2 linked regions of the Xenopus tropicalis genome follow. Each later gene encodes a partner of the first gene's protein in a complex. Links are inferred from orthologs where the notes say so. Each region holds a gene or a part of one and is shown on either strand. Other genes may lie near its edges. The genes, in order: prkaa2 and prkag1.

What was found.
Region 2: the proteins of prkaa2 (region 1) and prkag1 are in contact, whole or in part, in a crystal structure (PDB 6B1U), measured with the Homo sapiens proteins. The link is inferred for Xenopus tropicalis from reciprocal best matches to the Homo sapiens genes PRKAA2 and PRKAG1. Residues at the interface, in NP_006243.2 of Homo sapiens: Asp329, Asn330, Ile333, Met334, Ala337, Phe340, Tyr341, Leu342, His366, Pro367, Glu368, Arg369, Met370, Pro371, Pro372, Leu373, Ile374, Asn444, Val446, Thr447, Pro530, Arg531, Leu532, Gly533, Ser534, His535, Thr536, Met537, Asp538, Glu541; in NP_002724.1 of Homo sapiens: His36, Asp40, Leu41, Ile42, Pro43, Thr44, Ser45, Val50, Phe62, Leu64, Val65, Thr66, Gly68, Val69, Arg70, Trp75, Ser77, Lys78, Lys79, Gln80, Phe82, Pro158, Glu159, Ser160, Gly161, Asn162, Lys170, Arg171, Lys174, Phe175.

The regions. Positions count from the first base shown.
Region 1 is NC_030680.2:87,566,121-87,578,104, forward strand, and holds part of prkaa2 (5'-AMP-activated protein kinase catalytic subunit alpha-2), read right to left. Parts: intron 10,696-11,984; coding exon 10,551-10,695; intron 9,143-10,550; coding exon 9,055-9,142; intron 7,721-9,054; coding exon 7,496-7,720; intron 6,328-7,495; coding exon 5,823-6,327; intron 1-5,822. UniProt on the Homo sapiens protein: Catalytic subunit of AMP-activated protein kinase (AMPK), an energy sensor protein kinase that plays a key role in regulating cellular energy metabolism.
Region 2 is NC_030678.2:136,343,548-136,355,531, reverse strand, and holds the start of prkag1 (5'-AMP-activated protein kinase subunit gamma-1), read left to right. Parts: upstream 1-1,308; 5' UTR 1,309-1,315; coding exon 1,316-1,324; intron 1,325-1,329; exon of another isoform or gene 1,330-1,349; intron 1,350-4,555; coding exon 4,556-4,610; intron 4,611-4,718; coding exon 4,719-4,825; intron 4,826-5,400; coding exon 5,401-5,482; intron 5,483-7,099; coding exon 7,100-7,158; intron 7,159-7,604; coding exon 7,605-7,650; intron 7,651-7,967; coding exon 7,968-8,022; intron 8,023-8,181; coding exon 8,182-8,308; intron 8,309-8,399; coding exon 8,400-8,565; intron 8,566-10,631; coding exon 10,632-10,669; intron 10,670-11,984. UniProt on the Homo sapiens protein: AMP/ATP-binding subunit of AMP-activated protein kinase (AMPK), an energy sensor protein kinase that plays a key role in regulating cellular energy metabolism.

The sequences.
Region 1 (11,984 bases):
AAATGAATACTTAACCAACAAATAATTTATATCATATTAAGTGGCCTAATAAAGACTCTTATCAAATTGGAATATATATCAGTAAATATTTCACTTTTACATCTGTTATCTCATTGCCATCTTTTCCCTCAGAGATCACCTGACGGTAAATACCGTATATACTCGAGTATGAGCCGAGTTTTTCAGCACCAAAAATGTGCTGAAAAACTAACCCTCGGCTTATACTCGAGTATATGGATTCGAAGATGGAACGAGCTTGTTGTGTGCACCCCCCCCCCCCGAGGATGGACGCTTGCACGCGGGGGGGGGGGGGGGGGATTGCGCACAACAAGCTCGTTCCATCTTCGAATCCATATACCACTTCTGCGACAGTGTTCTACAATCTGCTGCTCAGCTCCTGCCTCAGGACACAATGCACTAGGTATTAGGTATTTGACTTAACTCTTCCTACAGACAGTTAGACAGCATTCCTGTGTTAAGCTGAGCTTCCCTGATCTGGTTGTCTACCTGCCATATACTGTACATCCAGATGGTTGGGCAATATGCTCAAAATTAGTCTTGGTCCAATCAAATATAAGCACCTATGGCCAGCTTAACTGAAGCACTCTGGCTTTATACGTGGCTGGAACTTTGTCATTAGGCATTAGTTTACCTGCATTAGGTTACCTGTGTAGCACAATGGGCCATATTTACCATTTTTTCCTCCCTTGGCCCTTCACAGTGCAGATATGATGATCCATTGCTAGTCAGCCAGCCTTTCTGTGATAGTTTAACTCTTTAAAAAGAGAGGGATCAGGCTACCCCCAAAAGATCAGCCTCCACACCCAGGTTCAGGCTTATGTATCTTGTCTTTCCCAGTGCTGTAAATCTTCAAGGCAAGAGGGTCAAAGGGTCCTCCATCCACCCTAATCACCTTTCCCTAATCTGCAGCTGCCAGCATGATATATTTATGAAGAGTTCACAGGGGGGGATTATTAAAATTTAGCAGTAGCGGCTGCATTTCCCACCCTAGGCTTATACTCGAGTCAATAAGTTTTTCCAGTTTTCGGCTTATACTCGAGTATATATGGTAATGAAGCTCTAACTGTAACAGGCAGTAGTGTGGGAGTAAAAGACAGAACTTAATTACAAAAAAAGACAGAAAATTAATTGGCTGATGTTACCTAATGTGTGATGTATGCGTGCCCTTTGTTTGTGTGCACTGTGAATTGTATGATCCCAGGGGGCAGCCCATAGTACTTAAAATGGCAATTTTCTATTTAGAATTACCCAATAGCACATCCTACTAAAGTATATTTTTATGAAAAGGGATTCTTTATGTGATATATATTTTTATTGAGACCTACACTGTTTAAGGGTATTGTTTTCCTTTAACATAATATGCATTAATTAGCCAAAAAATAGTTATGTCTTGGCTTTACCAATTGCATTTCATAGTAAAAAAAAAAAAAAGTGGGGTTTTGTGTCAGAATTCTGCATTTTTCTTGCGTTTAGAGCATTTTAGCTCTTTTTTTCTAAATATGTTAAAGGAATACTGTCATGGGAAAACCTTTTTTTTTTTCAAAACGGATCAGTTAATAGACCTCCAGCAGAATCCTGCATTGAAATCCATTTTTTTAAAAACAAAGATTATTTTATATTTAATTTTTAAATTTCACATGGGGCTAGCCATATTCTTCATTTCCTAGGGTGCCACAGTCATGTGACTTGTGCTCTGATAAACTTCAGTCACACTTTACTGCTGAACTGCAAGTGACACCACCCCCCTCCCAGCAGCCGATCATCAGAACAATGGGAAGGTAGCAAGATAGCAGCTCCCAGTAGATATCAGAATAGCACTCAATAGTAAGAAATACAAGCCTAGTTACATGGGAGGAGAAACAGTAGGTTATCTCAGTGCTGTCCAACTGGCAGCCCGTGACCCCCCTCTGTGTGGCCCCCCACCTGTCTGGCTGCTTTGGTGGCTTACCTTTGTGAAAGCTTTAAAGGGTATCAGTACTAAGATTAAGTGGACCCCTGCATGGTTCTGACCTCAGATTCAGGCTGTAATCCCCCTGAACTGTTTAAAAATGTAATGGGAGTTTGTTAGCAGTTAGAAATAGCCATTAAATGGTCCCTAAGGTGTGTAATTATGTGCTGGGGGTTGCTGTGCTATCCACAGGGGAGGAGGAGGCATATGGATTTAAGAGTGTGTCTTAATATGACATATGAATGACGGTTGATATCCCTGCAGTAAGAACCAAGCATTTGGGTTTTTGCTGCACTACCACCATTGTGATAAAATGGGTGTGGTTTAAAAAGGGGCAGTGGTCAAAACTGGCTTCCATTAGCAGCCCTCCACCATGTATGCTAGAGAAATTCCAGCCCTCGGCACCACAGAAGTTGAATAGCACTGGGTTATCTGAAAGCATTTCTAATGTGTAGCGCTGGCTCCTTCTGAAAGCTCAGACTCAGGCTCAATGCACTGAGATGGCTGCCTACACACCAATATCACAACTAAAAAAAAATACATTTGTTGGTTCAAGAATAAACAGTGTAATTTAGTAAAAAATTATGGCAAAAATCATCTTAAGTCTCTAAGCAACAAATTCGATAATGACACTTATGGGTGTATTTTCTGCATCTAGACATTTTCCCTATGCATTCATAATGGAAAAAAATGTTTTTGGGGCACTCTACAATAGTTCGCAAAAATTTTGCTTATGTTTTAAAAATGTTTATGTTTTAAAATACTAGAAAAACCTGCTATAATGTTAAAATAGTTCACATCACTTTGGAGCAGGAAAGACTTTTTAGGCAACACAACTGTAAAACTGTTAAAATTTTGCAACAGGTTATAAGTTTCCACCAATAGCAAATTAAAACAAAGGAAACTGAAACTGATTTAGTAAATTTCAGGAAATCCCAAATAGTTTTATGTTATATAACAGAACACCGTTCCAAACTCAACTTTTTAAATTATGTAAAAAAATATTTCACATAAGTACTTCCAGAATGCCAAAATAATTCCAAATATTAGTAAATCATCCGTACAGTGTTTGTGTAATGGATATATATTAGAGAGGAACTGTCACTACAAATAAAAAATCCACTAAACTGTAGGGGAGGTTTAATTAATCCATCTCACAACCAACACCATGAATGATGTGTCTGCAGCAGGAAAAATATTTGGTTGAGTGAGAGAACTAATAAACTATTTATAGCTCAGAGACTGTAAGAAAAATAATAAAACTTGTTCGGCAAATAGATTTATTAGAATCCCCTACAGTCTGGGTGCACATTAACAGCTAGGACACGTCCATGTTAAGAGAATATGTGTAATGTCTTTTTTGCTGCAGGACTGTTCCTAGTAACTGCTGTATGGATTGGGGTTGGAAGATGTGTTCACAACTGTGATGAAAGACAGAAGGCACAGAGAAAAGTTAAAAAAAGCGAAAGATTGTTTATAGTCTGTACAGGGACAAGTTAAGATAACTGCATAATACAGTATAAGCCACTGTTCTAGACACAACAACAAAAAAACATGTAAATTGTTACTAAATATGAGAAACCAAAAAAATCAATTTAATAAATGGCTGCTTATAGTAGAGCCAGATTAGGCATTTAAACAATATGAAGACAAGCACTGTCATGTGAAGGGCTGCATAAGCAAGGAGTACTGTAGGTTATAAGCAGGATCTTTAGGTCAATACCAAGGCTCCTTGGGAGAAAAGATGTTAGAGGCCTGCTAGTGCAGTGGCCAGATGATGACCTAAATGCATACCTTTATACCTATTATTGACAGCTGGGCCTTTTCTGCCCACACACAGTTCTTCATGAAATAGTCAATCTGATCCTACTGCCAACTTATCTGTTAGCTCTGGCACTGGGGAGGCAATGGCTTGCCTTTCTCCATTATTTTATGAAATGAACACAAATAAAACAGCTAATTTATCAGGCACCACTTTGAGAAATAACTGAAGGCACTTGGTTCCAAAGCTTCCATTTGTACCTTCACATAGTTCGCATCAGAGCCAGTGGATCTGTCCTGCCTCCTCATGCTATCAAGCACACTGTCCCTATAGATGTAGGGGAACTCCAAAACTACCACCACCATGAAGGTAGATTCTGACAGTGGTCTGTGTCAACAGATGCAGGGTATTTGCTCCTAAAGAATCGGGCACAGACATGATTTTGACTACTTCATGTGGGGTACTATAGCAAACCAAGTTTTGTAAAGGGGCTGCACCTCAATACACCACTGATATAAGCACCCTGATAACCTGAACCTTTACTGTTAAGTTTGTCTTTTAACATAAGCTCTGCCTGCAGTTTGTAAGTTAAGCACATTAGATACAACCATACTGGTATTCACAGGGCCGCCATCAGGGGGGCACAGGGGGCACAGTCGTCCCGGGCCCGGGCATTTTTAACTTCAAAGGGGGCCCGGCCGTGCTAGAGTTTTCTTAGCTCGGGCCCCCTTTAAACACCTCCGGGCCCTGCGACTGTCATTGGCGGCCTCCAGCGCTATGTCCCACGGCCCCCGCTACACCTGCACTTTCATAAGGTTGCGGCCCGTGCGTACTGACGTCACACGTACGCACGGGCACAACCTTGTAAAAGCGCAGGTGTAGCGGGTGCCGTGGGACATAGCTGAGGACGCAGGGAGGAGACGCAAGTGAAGCAGGAGGAGCCGGAGGCCACAGAAGGAGCCAGAGGTAGCAGGAGAAAGCAGCAGGATGATTGGGAGGATGCTGAGGGGCAGCTGGAGGATGCTTTTGGGGGGCCCTGGGGTAGCAGGAGGAAGCTTGTGGGGGCCCTGGAGGATGCTTGGGGGGCAGCTGGAGTATGCTTGGGGGTCAGCAGGAGGATGCTTTTGGGTGGCCCTGGGGTAGCAGGAGGAAACTTGTGGGGGCCCTGGAGGATGCTGGGGGGCAGCTGGAGTATGCTTGGGGGTTAGCAGGAGGATGCTTTTGGGGGGCCCTGGGGTAGCAGGAGGAAACTTGTGGGGGCCCTGGAGGATGCTGGGGGGGCAACTGGAGGATGCTTGGGGGGGGCCTGGAGGATGCTGGGGGGGCTGGAGTTTGCTTGGGGGGCCCGGGAGGAAGCAGAAGGATGGTGGGGGGGGACACAGGGGGGGAGCTGGAGGAAGCAGTGGGGAGCGGGCCATAGTTGAGGAGACTGGGGGAGGGCCACCAATGTTTTAGGGAGCCCTGTGCTGGCTAGCAATATTTTAGGGAGTCCCTGAACTGGAACCAATGCAAAACGTAACCCCTGGCCACCAATGTTTTAGGGGGGCCCTGGCTACCAATGTCTGTGTGTCATTTGAATTGATGGGAGGGGTCACTGGGGGTGTGGCCATTGGGTGCATGGGAGGAGGGGGGCCCAGAAAATTTTATTGTGAGGGGCCCCATGATTTCTGATGGCGGCCCTGGGTATTCATCAAAAATTTGAAGATGCATAATAAATGGTCCGGGAGCAGGTACATGAAGAAGCTTTAAGGAGCAGATTCTCGGCCTGTGTTTATCTGCAGGCCGAGAATCATCCACATGTGGCAGTAGCCTTACAGTTATTTTGTCACAGACAAAGCACATATATCTAGAAATCCATATTAGTCCAAACATGCATAACAGCATAATTCTGGATGCGACACTACATACTAGGAAAATTATAATACCCTAGAAAGATAGAATTGTTAATGTGTTATTGGTTGATTTTTTTTATGCATAATACCCCATGCCTTCAACCTGCAAAGACATGAAAACACATATAAAATACTGAAAGATGTGGATTTCAAGTCTAGATGTGCAATTTCCTATGCAAGTTTTAGGACTAACACTCACCTTCCATTCAAAATCAAGTTGCTTCATAGCTCGATAAACTTCAGCCATAATATCATATGGTTTACTTTGGCTGCGGATCCCCAAGTGCCACTTGGCTTTTTTCACAGCTAGGGGTTTAGGTTTGGTGGTGTTCAAAGCATCTAAAGGGCATCTTGCCTTTGGACTATCTGCTATTAGAGGTGGCATTCTTTCTGGGTGTGGCTTCACTCCAGGTGGGATGTGCAAAGTGCTTTCGTCTATGAATGAGCCAGTTGGTGGACTAGAGGCGAGGTAGAATTCACTGGCCTGGTTCATTATTCTTCGATTGTCTATTATAAGATGGTAGGCAACAGCAAGCTGGTCTTGTGGGTCACCGCTGTATAAACTGTTCATAACTTCGGATTCTGTACATTCAAACTTCTCACACACCTCCTTCACAGCCTCATCATCAATTACATTGGCATCATATGACGGGTCTTCTGGAAACAAGTAACTGGGTAAATCCTGTTTAAACCATTCATGTTCTCTGAGGAGAGAAATGCCATTTTTTAGGAATAGCACTGAAGCATGGAAACCAAAACATAACTGCAATAAAACTACCTTCAGTCTTCTAATCCATCATCTCCTCTGTACAACACAAAGTCATCAAAATATTTATAATAACATTTTATTTTCATTTATATCCGTAGCTACTTTACAAAGACAATTAGTAACACCAGCTAGGCAGTAGACGGGTCTCATATAGTGTATAAGTATTTAATTATACCATACTTCCTGAACGGTGCAGATACAGTTACTGAAAATAACACTTTTCATCAAAAAAAACCTCACTTAAGATTTGGGTAAAACAAATAAATGGATGGAAGTGCATAAAAAAATTTTCGACAACAAATCAAGCACAGATTCCTTTGCAAAAGGGAAAAGGTCACTTAACAGATTGCAGCTGAAAGTTTCTAAAAAGTGAACAAGTGTTCCTTAATGTTACTGGCATCCACTTCAGGATGTGTGAAATTATCCATAATCCACATTTCATGCTCTGATATACGTTACTATGGTTACTGGCTCTGCATAGCATAACAGACCTAAAAATTACACTCCTCCATTTATCATTCAAAATCAAGGCTAAACCACATTTTGCTCATTGCCTGGGGTCAGACCAGGGGCACATTTTGTCCTGCTAACATGTTTTTAATTCTAACTAACCTTTTAATAAAGGCCATGAGCCAGAACAGCAATATGTGTCTAGCACTTATCCACCTGCTGTTTACTAAAACAGAACTACAGAACACTTACATACAAATATCAGAGGTATACAGGTATGGGATCTGTTATACAGAATGCTTGGAATCTGGGGTTTTCCAGAAAAGGGGTCTTTCTCTAATATCTTAAGGCTACTGAAACATTAAATAAACCCAACAGGATTGCTTTGCCACCAATATGGATTTTTGCAGCTTAGTTACCATCAAGTATAAGGTGTTGATTTATTATTACAGAGAAGGGGAAATCATTTTAAAAATTAGAATTATTGTTTATATGTTTAAAATGGAGCTTTTTGGATATTGGGTTTCCAGATAAAAATCCTATACCTGTACTAAGCATTGGTCACTATTTTCATTGAACCATTTCTGTATTTCATTTCAGTATGTATGAAACTGTTTTGCATAAAAAATTATTTGTTACATGAGCATCATTACCTTATGTCTTTGATAGTGGCACGCTTAAGAGGGTCAACCTGAAGCATATGCATTAACAATGTAGCAGCAGAGCGGTTTAGGTACTCAGGGATGTAAAATACTCCTCCTCTTATCTTCTTAAAAAGAGTTGGAACATGTTCATCATCAAATGGTAGAGTTCCACAGAGAAGAGCATAGAGTATCACTCCACAGCTCCAGATATCAACCTCAGGACCTGCATACAATCTACACAGAAAGGTAGAACAGACAATATAATACACTACAATTGGAAATAGGTTAAAAGCATGGTATTACATTTAAATGCATTATGAAGGGCCAAATAAGAATAACTCATTCTCCCAATACAGTCTCACAACTTGAAGCGTAACAAAATCCCTCATAAACCTTGAAAATTGTCTCTCAAAGGCACCCATCTTTTCAACAGATAGTCTGAATGTACTGATAAGCATTTGAGCATGCCCACTTGTCTATCCCTGCTCTCCCACCTGATATCATACTAATACCTAGCATAGTGTATGTGTGTACGAGGAAAACTGAAGTCACTTGTTCCAATATTCAGGCAGGAGGTTTGCTAAACTGAAAGGAATGTGGTTTAAAGGCATAACTTATGCTACATAGTTAATTTGGGTTAAAAAGACAAAAGTTCAACCCCTCCAAATAACTCACAGTGCATATACATATAGAGAGACCTATTAATATACTCAAATATATAAAAATATACACATAACTAAATGTAGATCTTAAGATCACTATAGACTTGGATATTATGCTTGGACAAAAAGTCACCCAAGTCACAGAATATGCCATCACAGCATCACCTGCGGGGGTTTTTCACAAGCTCACAAACCTTACAGTGCAGAACCTTTTGCTGCTCAAATAAAAGTTTTGTTTTTTTTTAACTGAGGGCTGCTGTATATGAGAAACAGGGCAGCCCTTTATAAATAAATCACTGGTTGCCTGCAGCCTTAGTTGCCCTTAAAGCAACTCTGAAACCTTTTTTATAAAACAAGCAGTGTATAATAGTGCAAGAAAATAGTGTTTTTCCTCATTTTATCCGACTGAAAGTAACTTGGAAGGATGCTATTAGTAGATGCCCTTTATCCCCTCTGGAGCTAGGGTAGCAGGTGGCTCTGGTGTTTGGACTGGCACCAGAAGATACCAATGTAGGTGCTGAAGCAGACGCCATCCAGTAATGGCAGTCAAAACACAAGTTCTGCCCACTGCCACATTTACATTGATATCCACAAGAAAGGCAAGCTTCTACCAAAAGGACCACCATCATGGCACAAAATTGTAGCTAATAATTAATGAAAAAAAAACAAGCAAAAAAATACAAATAAAAATGATGTACATTATGTACCTTACATGTTTATTTTATGATGGCATGTGCTGCTGGCATTTATAAACTGCAGTTAGAATTCCTTTAATAGCAAATTCTACCTATCAATGCTAAATTAATGCTGCACCCCTTAGCGCCATATAATGACGTGACTAAGCAACTTCAACAGGCTGTATTGCATAAGTTATTCACGGATTTTGTGTATAGTAAAATACTTTACCTTCCCGATATGACTTCCGGTGCTGCATAATTAGGTGAACCACAACTGGTCCGCAGGAATTCCCCATCTGACATCATGTTGGATAATCCTATGAGAAACAATTTCCAAGATAAGTTATAGAGGTGTGATCACTTACCTTACATTATACAACATATATGCATTTTGTTGGTTGCAGCATGAGTGAGCGTGTGAAACAACTGGAAAGAATCAGAATATCAAATGAAATACAAGTATGGCATCTGTTATTCCGAAAGCTCTGACTTTATGGGAAGGCTATCCCCCATAGACTCAATAAACAATTGACATTTTTAAAATTGATTTCCTATTTCTCTGTAATAATACAGTACCCTGTACTTGATCCCAACTCAGATATAATTAATGCTTGACAATGCATTATACTTCTCCAAATATGGAAGGAATGCACTTAAAAAATGTTTCGGACTGATTTACTGAGATATTCCCCTCAAACCCTACTAGTCCCACCCATCTGTGGCCACTTCCTGCTGCCTCCTTTCCCAAGCTGAGCAGGGGAGCTGGTTGCACTCAGCACTCTAGGATAGGAACCAATCAGCAGCTAACCTGACTAAATAGGAAACTGAAGTCTGTCTTTGCTTGTGTGACTGCAAGGTTATGATTATCCCCCACATACTGATGCTCTGGCAGTACACAACCACCCCTTGTTTGAAACACAGACTGGGACCAGGGAGGATCTATAAGAAGCTCCAGTAAAGAGGTCATTTTTACAGATGGTATTAGTTTTTAGCCCAAAGTAAAACTAGCATCATAATGCATATTATTCATAACTGCCTCCAAGATTAGGGGGGGGTGGTCATTTATCCTATATGTTTCCTTTAAGGCACAGAGGTTCAAATGACAGAAATAATCCTTATCAGGAAAACCCCAGGTCCCAAGCATTCTGGATAACAGGTCCTATACCTGTATTACAAACTACCTGTAAATGCACATTTTATCAGCTTTAAAAAATAACAAAGTTTGCATACTTGCAATGAAATGTACTTTAACATTTTCAAAAACTTGCAAATATATATTTGTCATAGGTATTATTTGGCAGTTTTCCCTACAATTTGCCTTGTTTTATTTACACACACAGAGACCCATTGGGCACTAGCCATAACAATTCCTTTGCAAGGTCATGTAATGAGATTATTGCAAAATATGCACAACTAGTTATGCTGGCCAATAATAGATAACTGTGCTGCTTCAGGAATGGCTATCTTTATAACAAGGGTATGTTTAATTTCTTTGCTGTGTTCCTACAGCAAATGTATTGCTCTCTATAAGGTTAGACTACAAAACAAATTTATAAAATAAATTCTCTTTCAACAATGGGCAGTTTTTCCAACTAATAACAAAAGAATTTTAACTGAAATTGCAGAGTTCTACATCCCTGCACAGCTAATGATTGTATACTGACAACCTTCAACAAATGACCTGTTTGCTGGCTACATTCTTAGAATGTTTGGGAAGTCACATACCAAAATCAGCTATCTTGGCATTCATGTGTGCATCAAGCAGCACATTCTCTGGTTTCAGATCGCGGTGAACCACCATATGTCTGTGACAGTAATCTACAGCAGAAATGATCTGTTGAAAAAGGCGTCTTGCCTCTGCTTCTTCAACCTACAACAGATAAAGCCAATGAATTGCACTGGATTTCCTAATAAGGTTGTTAGTTACAGTCAAGAAAAAACATATTTGTTTAAACTTTACAGATACGTTGGTTTAAAGGCACTTTTCTGTCATCTTAATCATTATACCAATGAAAAAGGTAACATATAAGCATTATCCATTTTATAGTCAGGTATCAGCAGTTTGCCACTGGTATATAATTTTGATCGTGCTTTCTCACTCATCACGATACACACAATTTAGATGTCTGACATCTGGATTCCCTAGGTTTGGAATTACATTTTCCAAACCACACAAAACTGATAGTGTGCTATGACAGTCCGCTGAGAAAAATACATTTACAAGGGAAGAGAAACAAGAACATGACACTCAAGTCTACTATGTTTTTTTTTTAGTTCAACTAGGAAAAATCTAAACAGATCAGAATGTTTAATAGCTTGAAAAAATAGGGTGCATTTATCAGAGACTGTCATCGTCTATCCTAATGAAACATACACTGCTGGCTTGAGCCTATTTGTGTTAGTAATATTGTAAAGAAGCTTATTTTAAAACTGAAGTCAGGGACCTCTTTCTGAAAAAATATTCACTTTGATAATGTTAACAAATGCCAAAAGTCAGCCCAGTTCTCCATGTTTTTACCCCCAATATTTTTCACAAAATTCCAGTGTAACTGCACCCACTACATTCAGACCAAAAATCCTGTTCTTAATAAAAAGAGGCACACAAATTTGTGGCTGTTATTGCAAAAGAGTCCAACTTGTACTTCCAAGTTTAGAGGCAGCACAAGATGGGAAATGGGCAAGCACTTACGCACCCATTATTTGAGTCACATATACAGTGGCTTGCAAAAGTATTCGGCCCCTTTGAACTTTTCCACATTTTGTCACATTACAGCCACAAACATGAATCAATTTTATTGGAATTCCACGTGAAAGACCAATACAAAGTGGTGTACACGTGAGAAGTGGAAAGAAAATCATACATTATTCCAAACATTTTTTACAAATAAATAACTGCAAAGTGGGGTGTGCGTAATTATTCAGCCCCCTGAGTCAATACTTTGTAGAACCACCTTTTGCTGCAATTCCAGCTGCCAGGTTTTAGGGTATGTCTCTACCAGCTTTGCACATCTAGAGACTGAAATCCTTGCCCATTCTTCTTTGCAAAACAGCCCCAGCTCAGTCAGATTAGATGCACAGCATTTGTGAACAGCAGTTTTCAGATCTTGCCACAGATTCTCGATTGGATTTAGATCTGGACTTTGACTGGGCCATTCTAAC
Region 2 (11,984 bases), on another chromosome or scaffold:
TTCAGTGGAAGCGAACAGAAAAGTGATTCTAGATTATCATAGCTATAAATACAGTAATGTAGCTTTTAGGTATACCCTATACAGGTTTTATTTTTTATATATATATAAAAAATATAATCCAGACCCAAGCTTGAAATACTTGATTTTTTTTCTGCTTGTATTAAAAAAAAACAAAACAAAAAAAACTTGCTGTGTTTGATTTTAATTTTGGTCTTCACTTGCAAATATCCGGTTTTCATTTTATAAATATATATATATTTCCTTTTTTTTTTTTTTTTTTTTTTTTGCCATTTCCATTTTTTTATTGACAATTCTATGAGGAGCTGTAATTTGTGCGGTGAGAATTCTGTACAGAAAATTTGTCCTTGGTAGAAAATATAAAATTATTCCTTTTTTTAAAAAAAAAAATGAAAATAAAAACTTGTACGTGGCATGTTTTGTATTGAATATAATTTTGAAATGTATATAATTTATGTGAAAGGGGGCAAGTAAGAGAAGTCTCATTTGCTTCTTTTGGTTTGTTTTTAAAGGACAAATAAAATGCATTTTAAATACATTATGGCCTGTTGCATTTTTTATTCATTCATTTGCTAATATACTAGTTTTAGCATGGGCGTATCTGCAGGCCTGCAGAGTTTTACCAGGTTGGTGGGGTTTCAGTCAAGTTGGGCCAATTTTATTTAAATGCTAAATTAAAGTTCTAGCCTGTCTACTAATTTGGGCTACTTTTGCACAATTTCAAAATACACCAAATTTTATTTTGTATTTTCTGCTAACAATTTATTTTACTGGTCCCTTATTTAAAAAGTTAATTGCCGGCTGCATGCTGGATAATGTAGTTTTACTGTAGGCCCAAGGAGGCCAGTATAGGCAGGGCACATCAGTACACAATGGGCATAGAAAATGTCAGGGCTGGTCTTCAATGGAGGGAAGCCTCAGAGTATGGGCAATTTTTCATTATGAAATTTGCGATGTATATAGATATATTGTACACGCAGGGTGGTTTTTTTAATCCATATAAAGCTATATTAGGGTATATAGGAACGAAAATATATAATTTGCTTTTGTATACACTAAAAAAAAAAATAGACGGTATTATATGGTAAAAAGAAAATCGTGTGTACGGTAAGTACTGTATAAACATAATATAGCGTTCTACACAGTAAGGACGGTCATTTTATGATGCCCCAAATAAAGATGGCTTCTGCGGAAACTCAGAAGAGCATTTCCTCTGCAGCGTGACGCACTGTGGGCGGAAGCGAACGTACAAAGAGGGCGGAAGTGGTCTAAATTAGTCACGGATGCGGAGGCCGCCATGGAACCGGTGAGCGGCATGAAAGTTGAAACATGTATTGTATTAAATAGAAATTAACGTAGCTCTAGCTGTCTTGTAGTGCTTTAAAGGCTACATGTAATATTACGGCTCTGGCGTTGCTAGGCACAGCCTGGATGCTTGTCACTTTATCCCTGTGGGCTTTGGTAAAAACACCAGGGTTATGAGGAAACGCTAGAGCAGTAGAACATGGAAGTGTAATAGAGAATAGCAGAAATGTACTGCTTGCTGCTGTCCTGTTGGAAATGAATTGCAACTATCCGCGTCATCGGTCTGTCTGATCCTTAGGTTTACCGATCAGCTCAAGTTGGTAGTGGAGAAGTTATATAGTTAGAATTGCACTTTAATAACGGTTTCTTCGCTTGCATACGTGACAAGTCCAAATGCTAATTAAATGGATATATATAATATATATATATATATATATATATATAATTGTATATAATGTGTGCTTCTCCTGCTTATAAACGGGCCATTTGTTGGACCATGGCCCTTTGGTACAAGCGTGCCTACAGTTGCATTATATCAGCTTGAAAATGTTCTGAAAGCTTGCTATGATTATCTTAGTTAGCCAATAAAGGTATCACCTTTATACCCCTTTTGTTATTTTTTATTTCAAAAGGGTTACCCTGTAAACATTTTTTGACTGGCTAACACAGTACATCACCTTTTCCTGCATGTACAGTTGCATTGGAATGCACCATCAGTCTGTACATAGGCAATAGATTCCCCTGCCTTTTTCTCTATAGAAACACCTCACCAGCATGTGCTGTATTGCAAGTATTAATGTATCATAAGTAGTCCTGTTGCACAACTAATGTGCTGGCTGCCCTCATTCATTCCTCTATTTACATTGTCCCTCTGCCCAGCTGGTTCCTTTTCCTTTCCTTTTTCCTGTTTTTTTGTTTTTCTGTTAGATGTTCACACCAATTTAGAAAAAAAGGAACTATGGTTTTCTTAATATATTCCCCAAACCTTCACCATTCTTTGCTTTACATTCCTAGATACTTACTTTTTACTTATCAGCTATTTATTTTCAGTCTCTCTTTATCTTATTTGTCCCCTGAGCTTTTTCTTTTTATAAAGCTGGTACCATTTGAGAGATTTCTCCTGGGAAAGGGAGGGGTGGTGGGTTACCTGTCCGAATTAGAACCAAGTGTTTGTTTGAAGAGATTGAGCATGAGGCAACACAATAGCAGTTTGTACTTATTTTATCAACTAAGTAACCGCCATGCCTTATACATACAAACACAGAGTACTAATGGGAAGATCTGTAATATTTTATGTGAAATGCTTTATGGCACTGCTAGATAGTGAGACTATATGGAGAGCAATATGGCTATGTAATGCAAAAGTTAAACTTCCTGTGCTCTGAGTTGATCTTATGATATACTGTTGGGGTGGCTCACCTGGAATCCACAGCCGTATACTTCTGATTATTTGTGCTAAACTATAACCCAAATTTGTTTTGGAGAAATTGGAGAGGCCATTTTGGCAGTCCCCCATGTGAATGCAATGTATTCTGCCAACAGTTAGCTCCAATCTGTTGATGCCACTGAGGGACTGGAGTCTCATCCAACAATTGTTCATGTTCTGCCCTATGGATTGCTAGGTAATCCACCCTAGTGTCATATTAAGAACATGGGAGAAGTAACTTATTTTAGGCAGAGAAATGAATACTAATGACCATCAGATGAGGACATCCCTCTAAACGAACAGTTAACTTCCTAACCCTCTGACTGCCTGATGGCTGTAAGTGGGTATTGCTTTGACCATCAAATTTACACTATCCACTTCTAACTTTGGTGTCTGTAATGTAGAGTCCACTGGTAGTTAGACAGTTAAAGAGCAAGTCTGGTGTATAGGGTTATGGGAGCATGCAACATAGCTGTGTTTTATTTAAAGGGGCTCAGTTTACTATGTATACTTCTTTTTAAAGTGGCCCTGCTGTTTTTTTTTTTTTTTTTTTACTATCTCCTGGACCCTACAAGAAAGGGTATATAGCAGACATCTGAGTACTCATTAGCTTTGCCTCACCTCAATGAAAAGTGTCTATTTTTTTCGTTTCCCTCAGTAAAATATTTTCAGTTGTTCTTCAGTTTCAACTCCCTTAAATGAAGGAGTCAGTTCTTTACTTAACAGGCCAAACTGATAGAGAGCCATTTATCAACACTGGGCAGTAAGCCATATCAACTAATCTGTTATTAGCTTTTTTTTTTTTTCTTCAGCCAGCTGAAGGTAGAACAAATAGTCAAATGGTTGCCATGGGTAACTGGCCAGGTTCAAAATAAATGAGCCCCAGAATGTAAGTTCTACTCCCACAGTACTGTCATGCTTTTTGCGCCTTCAGTCTATTGATATTTTATTTCCATAAATCAGTATCTTGCCTCAATAATGAAACACTATTATTTGTATCTCCCTTTTTATTGTTACTCTATTTTAAACCTTGTACTTTGAAATAAGTGCAAATATGCATGCTATTTATTTGTTAGTTGAATGGGATATTTTTGCTGTGTTTTTTTTTTAACTTTTTTTGTGTTCGTTGGTTGGCCATTGAGATTTTCTGATATTTATGATGTAATTACTCTTTGCTGAATAAGAAAAAAAGGAAAAAGATGTCTGTGCCCTTTTTTGTGCACATGGACTATTCCTTTTTAAATGTATTTTTTAAACTTTAATGCTGTGATTTCTAAACTGTTGAGTTTGGTTTTTTTTTTATTTTGAGGTTTTTTGCACTTAAGTTCGAAATTCGAGTTAGAAACGCAAATGTCTGGTATTTATTAGCTTACGAGTTTCTATAGAAGTCAATGGGAGTTGTCCTAGGCAAAGTCAAGCCATATTGTTGTATTTGAGTTTGTAATTCGAGATTATGGGTTATATTCGGGTTCAAACTCAAGAATTTGAGGTTTTTTTTAATCGCCCAAGTTTACCACTTTAATAAATAAGCAAACAGTCGATATTCAAATTTAATTGATTTAGAAAAACAAAACAATAAAGTGCTAAGATTAAAAAAAAAAAAAAAAAAATATGACAAAGTACAATTAATACTACCCCTAGGGCCATATTGTGTGCACCACAATTTACTGTGTGTGTTGACCTTAAAATGTTAGGCCAGCACACAGGGAACATTGCAGTAGGGTAGTAACTACAGTAATGTTTCTATAGTCTTCTTTTAATATATGTTTACATTTTTCTGAATTGTAATATCTCTTAATGTTTTAGGGTTCTGTTATGATCGAAAGCAATATGCAGGAGAAATGTGAGCCTGCTTCAGATGGTAAGTACATTTGTAGTAAGCAATACAAAAACTAGAGTAGGGTGGCCATGGAAACTTTTCTAATTGTAGTACATATTTATTTTTAATTTTTCTCTATTTCATACATAGTTCTGGAATCAGACAGTGGAGTTTACACGCGGTTTATGAAGAATCACAAATGTTATGATCTCATTCCCATCAGCTCAAAGCTTGTTGTGTTTGATACATCCCTGCAGGTGAGATCATTTTGTTTTTCTTGCAGTAGAACCAGTATCATGTGTTTTGTGACCTTGGCTTTAGCTGGATGCTTCCCAAACTGGGGGGACGGCTAAGGGGGCCCAGCTTGAAGGACAGTAAGGGTCTCCTAGTTGCTCCTGGAAGTCCTGCTTCAGGGTCAATTAGGGCAAGAAAACAATTGTTTGCTGCCCTAGATGTACTTGGAACTGTGTCTAAAGGACTGATACAACGGTGTATTCATATACAGGTATGGGAGCCCTTATTTGGTTTCCTGTTATGCAGAATGCTTCTGCTGGGAAGGCCATCTCTTTCCTGTAATAATAATAATTCTCTGTAATAATAAATCAGTGCCTTGTACTTGATACTAACTAAGCTGCATAAATCCATACTGGTTGCAAAATAAGCCTTTTTAATATTTGTAATGTTTGAATGCTTTTTGCAGATATTACGGTATGGTGATCCAAAGTTAATAGATCCTATACCAGTATCTGTAACCTTGTAATGAGGAAGCTTGAATAATAAAAAGGCCACAAATCTATTGCTTTAATTATTCAAACCTCTCTTAAATTTGCAGGTGAAGAAAGCATTCTTTGCTTTAGTCACTAATGGAGTAAGAGCTGCGCCACTCTGGGATAGCAAAAAGCAAGGCTTTGTAGGTAAGTGTCTAATAAAAGTATCATGTTAGCATGAGACATGAATATCCTAACATTTCTACTAAGCTGTCTTTCTTTTGGAAGCAGAGTATTCTTTAATCAACAAAATGGCTTAAGTTTTTGATTTGTTCACAAATCACCAAATAAAACAAAGGTGTTCTGTTATTTTCAGTTATAGCTCTCACATTAACCTCTCGGCAGCAGCTGATCATACCTAGCCAAGCAAATGTACATGTTGGATATCATCTGTGTAACTGTAATTTCTACAACTAAAATGTGTTTTGTAGGTCTGTGTATTTATTAGTAATATTAAAGAATATGTAAACCTTTAAAAATGAATGTAACATTGATCAGGGTGCTTTTTTTAAGCACTTCTTTAATTTACATGGTTTGTTTTGTTGTTTCAAAGCTATTAAGCTGTTGTTTAACTTGTAATAAGTTTTGTTAAAAAACAAACAAACAGTGCCACCTACTGGTCAGTTCCTCTGTATGGTCTTAGAGAGAGAGTTCAGAAGGGAAACTGAGAACTCTCTGAAAGTTGCTCTGCTCATATGACCTTCCATTCTGTTTCCTAACAGACTTAACTATATTTCTGTAAACTGAAGGGTGGATTCTTACTTGTAGTGTTTGGTAAGCATGTCTTTGTTAAGGCTGATGCCTCGCAGAGCGATAGATCTTTCCACCAGCAACAACAGGAGTCCATAGTGGAAAGGCAATTGCTTTGGTTGCACAAAGTTGCCTGCAGGAGGAAACCGCAAAGGCCTTTCCATCAGCAATTCCTATTTGTGCCAGTGGACAGGCATTTTGGAGCGGGTGACTAACATGCTTCATGAGAGATCACCCTGATGGGATACTGCAGTCTCAGAATGATAAATCTTTGTAAATAATTGTACCTTATAGACAGACAGCTTCTTTGGATGAACATTTGGCATATGCTATCCTCAAATAAAATATCACATCGGTTTCTTTATTGTGTGTTGGTAACCTTTTCACCATTTAATCAGCGCTCCTGGTTAAAGGAGAACTAAACTGAACCCTAAAAATAAATATGACTTAAAATGCTGTATTTTATATACTGAACTTACTGCACCATCCTTAAGTTTCAGCATCTCAATAGCAGCAATGATCCAGGGCTTCAAACTTGTCACAGGAACTCCCCATCTTGTCCTCTGAGCGGCTGTTGAGAAGCTAAGCTTAGGGGTTGTTGCAAATAATTAAGCACAAAATGTGGTTCACCTGTAATATAAGCTGATGCTACAGGGCTGATTATTAAATTTGTATGCTAATTGCACTGATTTTAGAGCTGTCATGCACTAATTATCTGTATTATTTACAAATCAGCCTATATTGTGACATTTACATTGTATATATACAGTATATTGTGCGTTGGTTCCTAAGCTCAGTAACTGACAGCAGCCCAGAGCATGTGCAGTGAATCAGCAGAAAAGAAGATGGGGAGCTACTGGGGGCATCCTCAGGGGCACAGATCTTCTATGATAAAGGGCTGAGGTTATCTTGGGCTGGTATAGGAGCCCAGAACATAATGTTCAGTATTTCTAACCTACTTCTTTAGTTCTCCTTTATATCTGACCTTTCATCTTTTTAACTTTCCTAATATAGGTATGCTAACCATAACCGATTTCATCAATATTCTCCATCGCTACTACAAGTCACCAATGGTGAGTTAAAAAAGGTGCATCTAGGTATATTTTACAATCTGTTCTTTGTCATTACAGTGGTAAGAGATCCTCAAGTGCATTACTTACATTATATGATATATTATAATATTTATTATATGTTTATTAAACTTTTTAAAGAACACTCTGTCAGGTTTACATTGATCTTTAAATTACTTGCTTACAGGTGTACATTAAATGATTTTGAAAGAAATTCTGTGTTCATATTGTAAGGAAAATAGGTAATTCGAATATGTTGGTGCTTTATAAATAAATGTTAATGTAATGTAATTCACAGAGCAGAAGGTAGAGAGAACAATTCCTTAAAGATGGTACCTAGAACTTTTAGCAATTCAAAGAATGCAACACTGTTTAATGCGCCCTTCTCAGTACAGGTACAAAGGAATCTAAGTTGGAGTTATTCGTTTCATCTAATTTTTTCAAACCAGGTGCAGATTTATGAGCTGGAGGAACACAAAATTGAGACATGGAGAGGTGAGTCTGGATACAGGCGCATACACATGAGCAATACAATTTTTAGTGAATGCAGGATAGGCCTCCACTTTTCACTTATTTTACATATCTGGCATGTTGTACTGCTAGGCTTCATGAAGAAGGTACTGTATTTATTCCTGCATTTACCAAGAGGACCCACTATAACAGCCAACATATTAGATAACAGCAAGTGGCTGTTCATTTTAGGCTTGCAAATGAGTTGTTCAATCATATATTTGCATTGTGAAGTGATCAGTCTGCAAGGGCTTTTGTTTTGTTAATGTTCTGATCTGGATTTTTTTTTTTGTTTCCCCTAGAGCTCTACTTGCAGGATTCCTTTAAGCCTTTGGTTAGCATTTCACCCAGTGCCAGGTAGGAGCCAAGACACTGTTGCTGGGATGGTCCGTGATCTGAGAGCCTAATTGCAATGTTTCATATTAACTATTAAATTACCATGTGCCATAAGACTATTGCAGGGAATATTGTAAATGCACTGAGAAAAGTCTATCTTTTTCTTCCTTTTGTCCTTAGTCTGTTTGATGCTGTCTCATCACTGATAAAGAACCGTATACACCGTCTTCCTGTAATCTCTCCTGACTCAGGGAATACTCTGTACATCCTGACACACAAACGCATCCTGAAATTCCTTAAGCTTTTTGTAAGTCTTGCTCTATTTGTATTATTCCTTTGGCTTCTACACACAGACCTCATTTCATCAGAATTTCTTATTTTATATTTTCAATGAGAAGATGTCTGAAGTTGAGAAACCTGCTTTTGTGACTAAATCCCTAAAAGATCTGCACATTGGCACTTATGAAAATATTGCCCTTGTTCGCCCGGACACTCCTGTATATGTTGCTTTGGGCATCTTTGTGCAACGGCGGGTGTCTGCTTTACCAGTTGTGGATGACTCAGGTTAGTGAAGGATTTCAGAGACAAGTTACAGTCTGTCATTTCCTCCTGTTGCTTTGTAGCTAACATGAGGTACAACAATGTTCCAGCAAATGTTCTGAATTTAGCATTATCCACTTCCTCTATAGGTGCAATAAAGAAGTAATTGATATTGAACAATATAAGGTGTAAAGGAAAATGCCTGTCTCCCAGGGCACTTAGAAAACTGGAAAAATGCTGTAGCATGTCATATATACTCTGCTTAATTAAATCATTGTAAGGATAAGGCCCCACGGATTGTCAGCTTGCATATAAGCACACACTGACACATATGCCCTTACGCTTGAAAAATCTTATTATTGTGCCTGAACACAGAAGCAATGAATCCACCTGGGTGCAGGCACACTCAGCCAATATCTGCCTACATACGCCAAGTCTCGCATTAATTGGCGGATATCGACTGCGTGTGCCTGCACCTGGGCAGATTCAGTTTTTCCGTGTGCAGTCACTATTTGAAAACGTTTTTAAGTGTATGGGCAAATTATCAGTCTGTGCTTATATGCCGGCTGACAGTCTGCCTTGTGGGGCCTTACCGTAACTCTCCTTGCTTCCTAATTTGTAACTCTGTTAAATTGCTTAGGGGAGGTATACGTCCTTATTTAACAAAAGCTCAATATATACAGTATAGGGCTTGTACTTAAAAATACTGTTTGCCTTTTTATAATTAAGAAACATCACTTTCTAAATTTCTCTAACAAATAAACCGTTTCCTGGTTTTGCCAAGCAGATCAGAAACTGGTAAAATGAATTATCAGTCCACAGAAAAGCCTTTTAATGAGCTGCTTAGGGAAGGGAGGTGTTTGTTTATTCAGGGCTCCTTATCTTACTTTGAACAAATGACTCTAGGGGGGAGTGAGTTCAGTGAAAAACAGACCAATTTTTCATTAATGCTTCTTTGTTAAAATAAGAATAAGAAAAATCTCCTATTTATAGTTCTCATTTTTTTTGCAAAGATATATGAGGGGGGGTATACTATCTCATTAAAGGAACAGTAACACCAAAAAATGAAAGAGTTTTAAAGTAAATGAAATATAATATACTGTTGCCCTGCACTGGTAAAAGTTGTGTGTTTGCTACAGTAACACTACTATAGTTTATATAAACAAGCTGCTGTGTAGCCCCGGGGGCAGCCATTCAAGCTGGAAAAAAGGAGAAAAGGCACAGGTTACATAGCAGATAACGGATGAGCTCTGTAGAATACAATAGTGTTTTATCTGTTATCTGCTAAGTGCCTGTGCCTTTTCTCCTTTGAATGGCTGCCCCCATGGCTACACAGCTGCATTCTTTATATAAACCATAGTAGTGTTTCTGAGGCAAACTCACCAGTTGAACCAATGCAGGGCAACAGTACATTATATTGGAATTTCTTTCATACACTTGAATTTTTTGGTGTTACTGTTCCTTTAACAGGTGACACTGTATAAGACATAGCACACAAGTGAGTGTCATCTAATATATTCTTGTCCCTTCCAGTCCCCTGGCAACTTCCTATGTTTGTTTTTCAGCCACCCCGTCAAATTTTTCTAGGGATGCACCGAATTCTGCATTCGGTTCGAGATTCGGCCAAATCCAGGCTTTTTTTTTTTTTTAAGGATTCGGTTTTGCCCGAATCTGCGGTCCCGGCCGACCCGAATCTGAATGCTAATTAGCATAAATTAGTATATGCTAATTAGCATTAATAACCATATGCTAATGAGGATTGGATTCGGTTCGGGATTCGCACAAATCCTTCAGAGTGGGTTCAGGGGTTCGCCAAACCCAAACCCATGTTCATGAGTCAAACTCTACTATAGGGGCTGATTTGCTAAAACCCCAATAAAGTACTACAATGCCATTACCTATAGTAACTAGTCAGATGTTGTAGCACTCATTTTACTAAACAATCCCCAAAGTCTCTTGGATTTTAGGAATCTGCTATTCATAGCCACATTTTAACACATATCTTTAAGTAGTGTTCTTATATTCAAGCACTTGCCCTCTTGCCATACTGTATTGGCCAGGAATTTAGTCACTTTTTTCTTCCCTTACAGGACGAGTTGTTGATATATATTCCAAGTTTGATGTCATTGTGAGTACCACTTAAGCTATTGCTTTTGTGTTTAATATGTGAAAAGCAAGTGTGTGCGTGTGTGTATATAAATATCTAAAAATAATATCAAATTATCAGTATATTAAGGACATTGAGGCATTTTTTGCATTAAGCTACTAATACATGCCCTTCCCTTTAAACAAAACAGGGATTGTTTTTCCATATATTGTAATATATTCAAAGCCATCCCCGGTCTGGCCAGTCCTACACTCAATTTCATCTGATTCATTAAGAATTCTACTGCTTCATTGTACGTTTTTCACAGAGACTTGCTTTGCTTTTAAGGTTAAAATTTCTAAATGGTTGCCCTTTTATTGGCCATCACTGGGATCACCTGACTGTAGCTGGGGGTAAAGGGAATTTCAATGTGGCACTGGTCACTGCTCCTGTATAAATTATAGCAAAAAGGGAAGGTTGTGCGCAAAGACAAGAGACTCTCTGCACATATCCATTATAATAAATATATGAAGCACATTGAGACATTTTGTGTATAGAAATAACCTTTTTTTTAAAAAAAAAAAAAAAAAAAAATCTTTAAAATTACTCTAAACAACAACATCCTGCATGCCGTCTGATCTGGTTTCTGACTTATAAATTGAAATCTCCAGCTCCTTTCCTCTACTTCCTGTTACAGCGTGAAGCCCTGTTCCCTCTTCCTGCTTAGCTCTCATTATTTCTTATATTCACAAACAGAAAATCTATGTACCCCCAAAAAAATTTGACAGTGTAGTGAGTTCTAGTTCAACACCACCATTGAATCAATTAAGATGCAAGTGCAAGCAATCCATCAATACAGTGATTTAATCCAATTCTAAAATCCTGTTGATTTAACTGTGGCGTTGAACTATAACTCACTGCACTGTCAAGTTGCAAACTTTTTGTACATTTTAAAGCAATTTATAGGTATTGTTGAACATGGAATGCTGGTATGTGGTTTTCAACAGATATGAATTATGATTTGAGTACATAGACTTTCTTTTTGTGAAGCACTTTCATAAGTGCATTTTTATAATGCCATGTCACGCCCTGCCTCTATGTCCAGAGATCCCGGGCAGGCCGTGACATGGCAGCCCTATCCGTGAGCCATGCAGCCATGAATAGGCACAGAAAAAAATGCTGCTGCAATCTGGCTCCTGCTTCTCTGTGCATTCCCAGAAAGCCTCTTCTCTGTCAGGCATGCCCAAAAAGCTCTTCTCTTCGACTATCCTGTAGTCAAAGAGATAAAGAGAGCTCAGCAGGAAAATGGGGATGGGGCTTTGTGCTGTATCAGGAAGTAGAGGAATGGAGCTGGAGA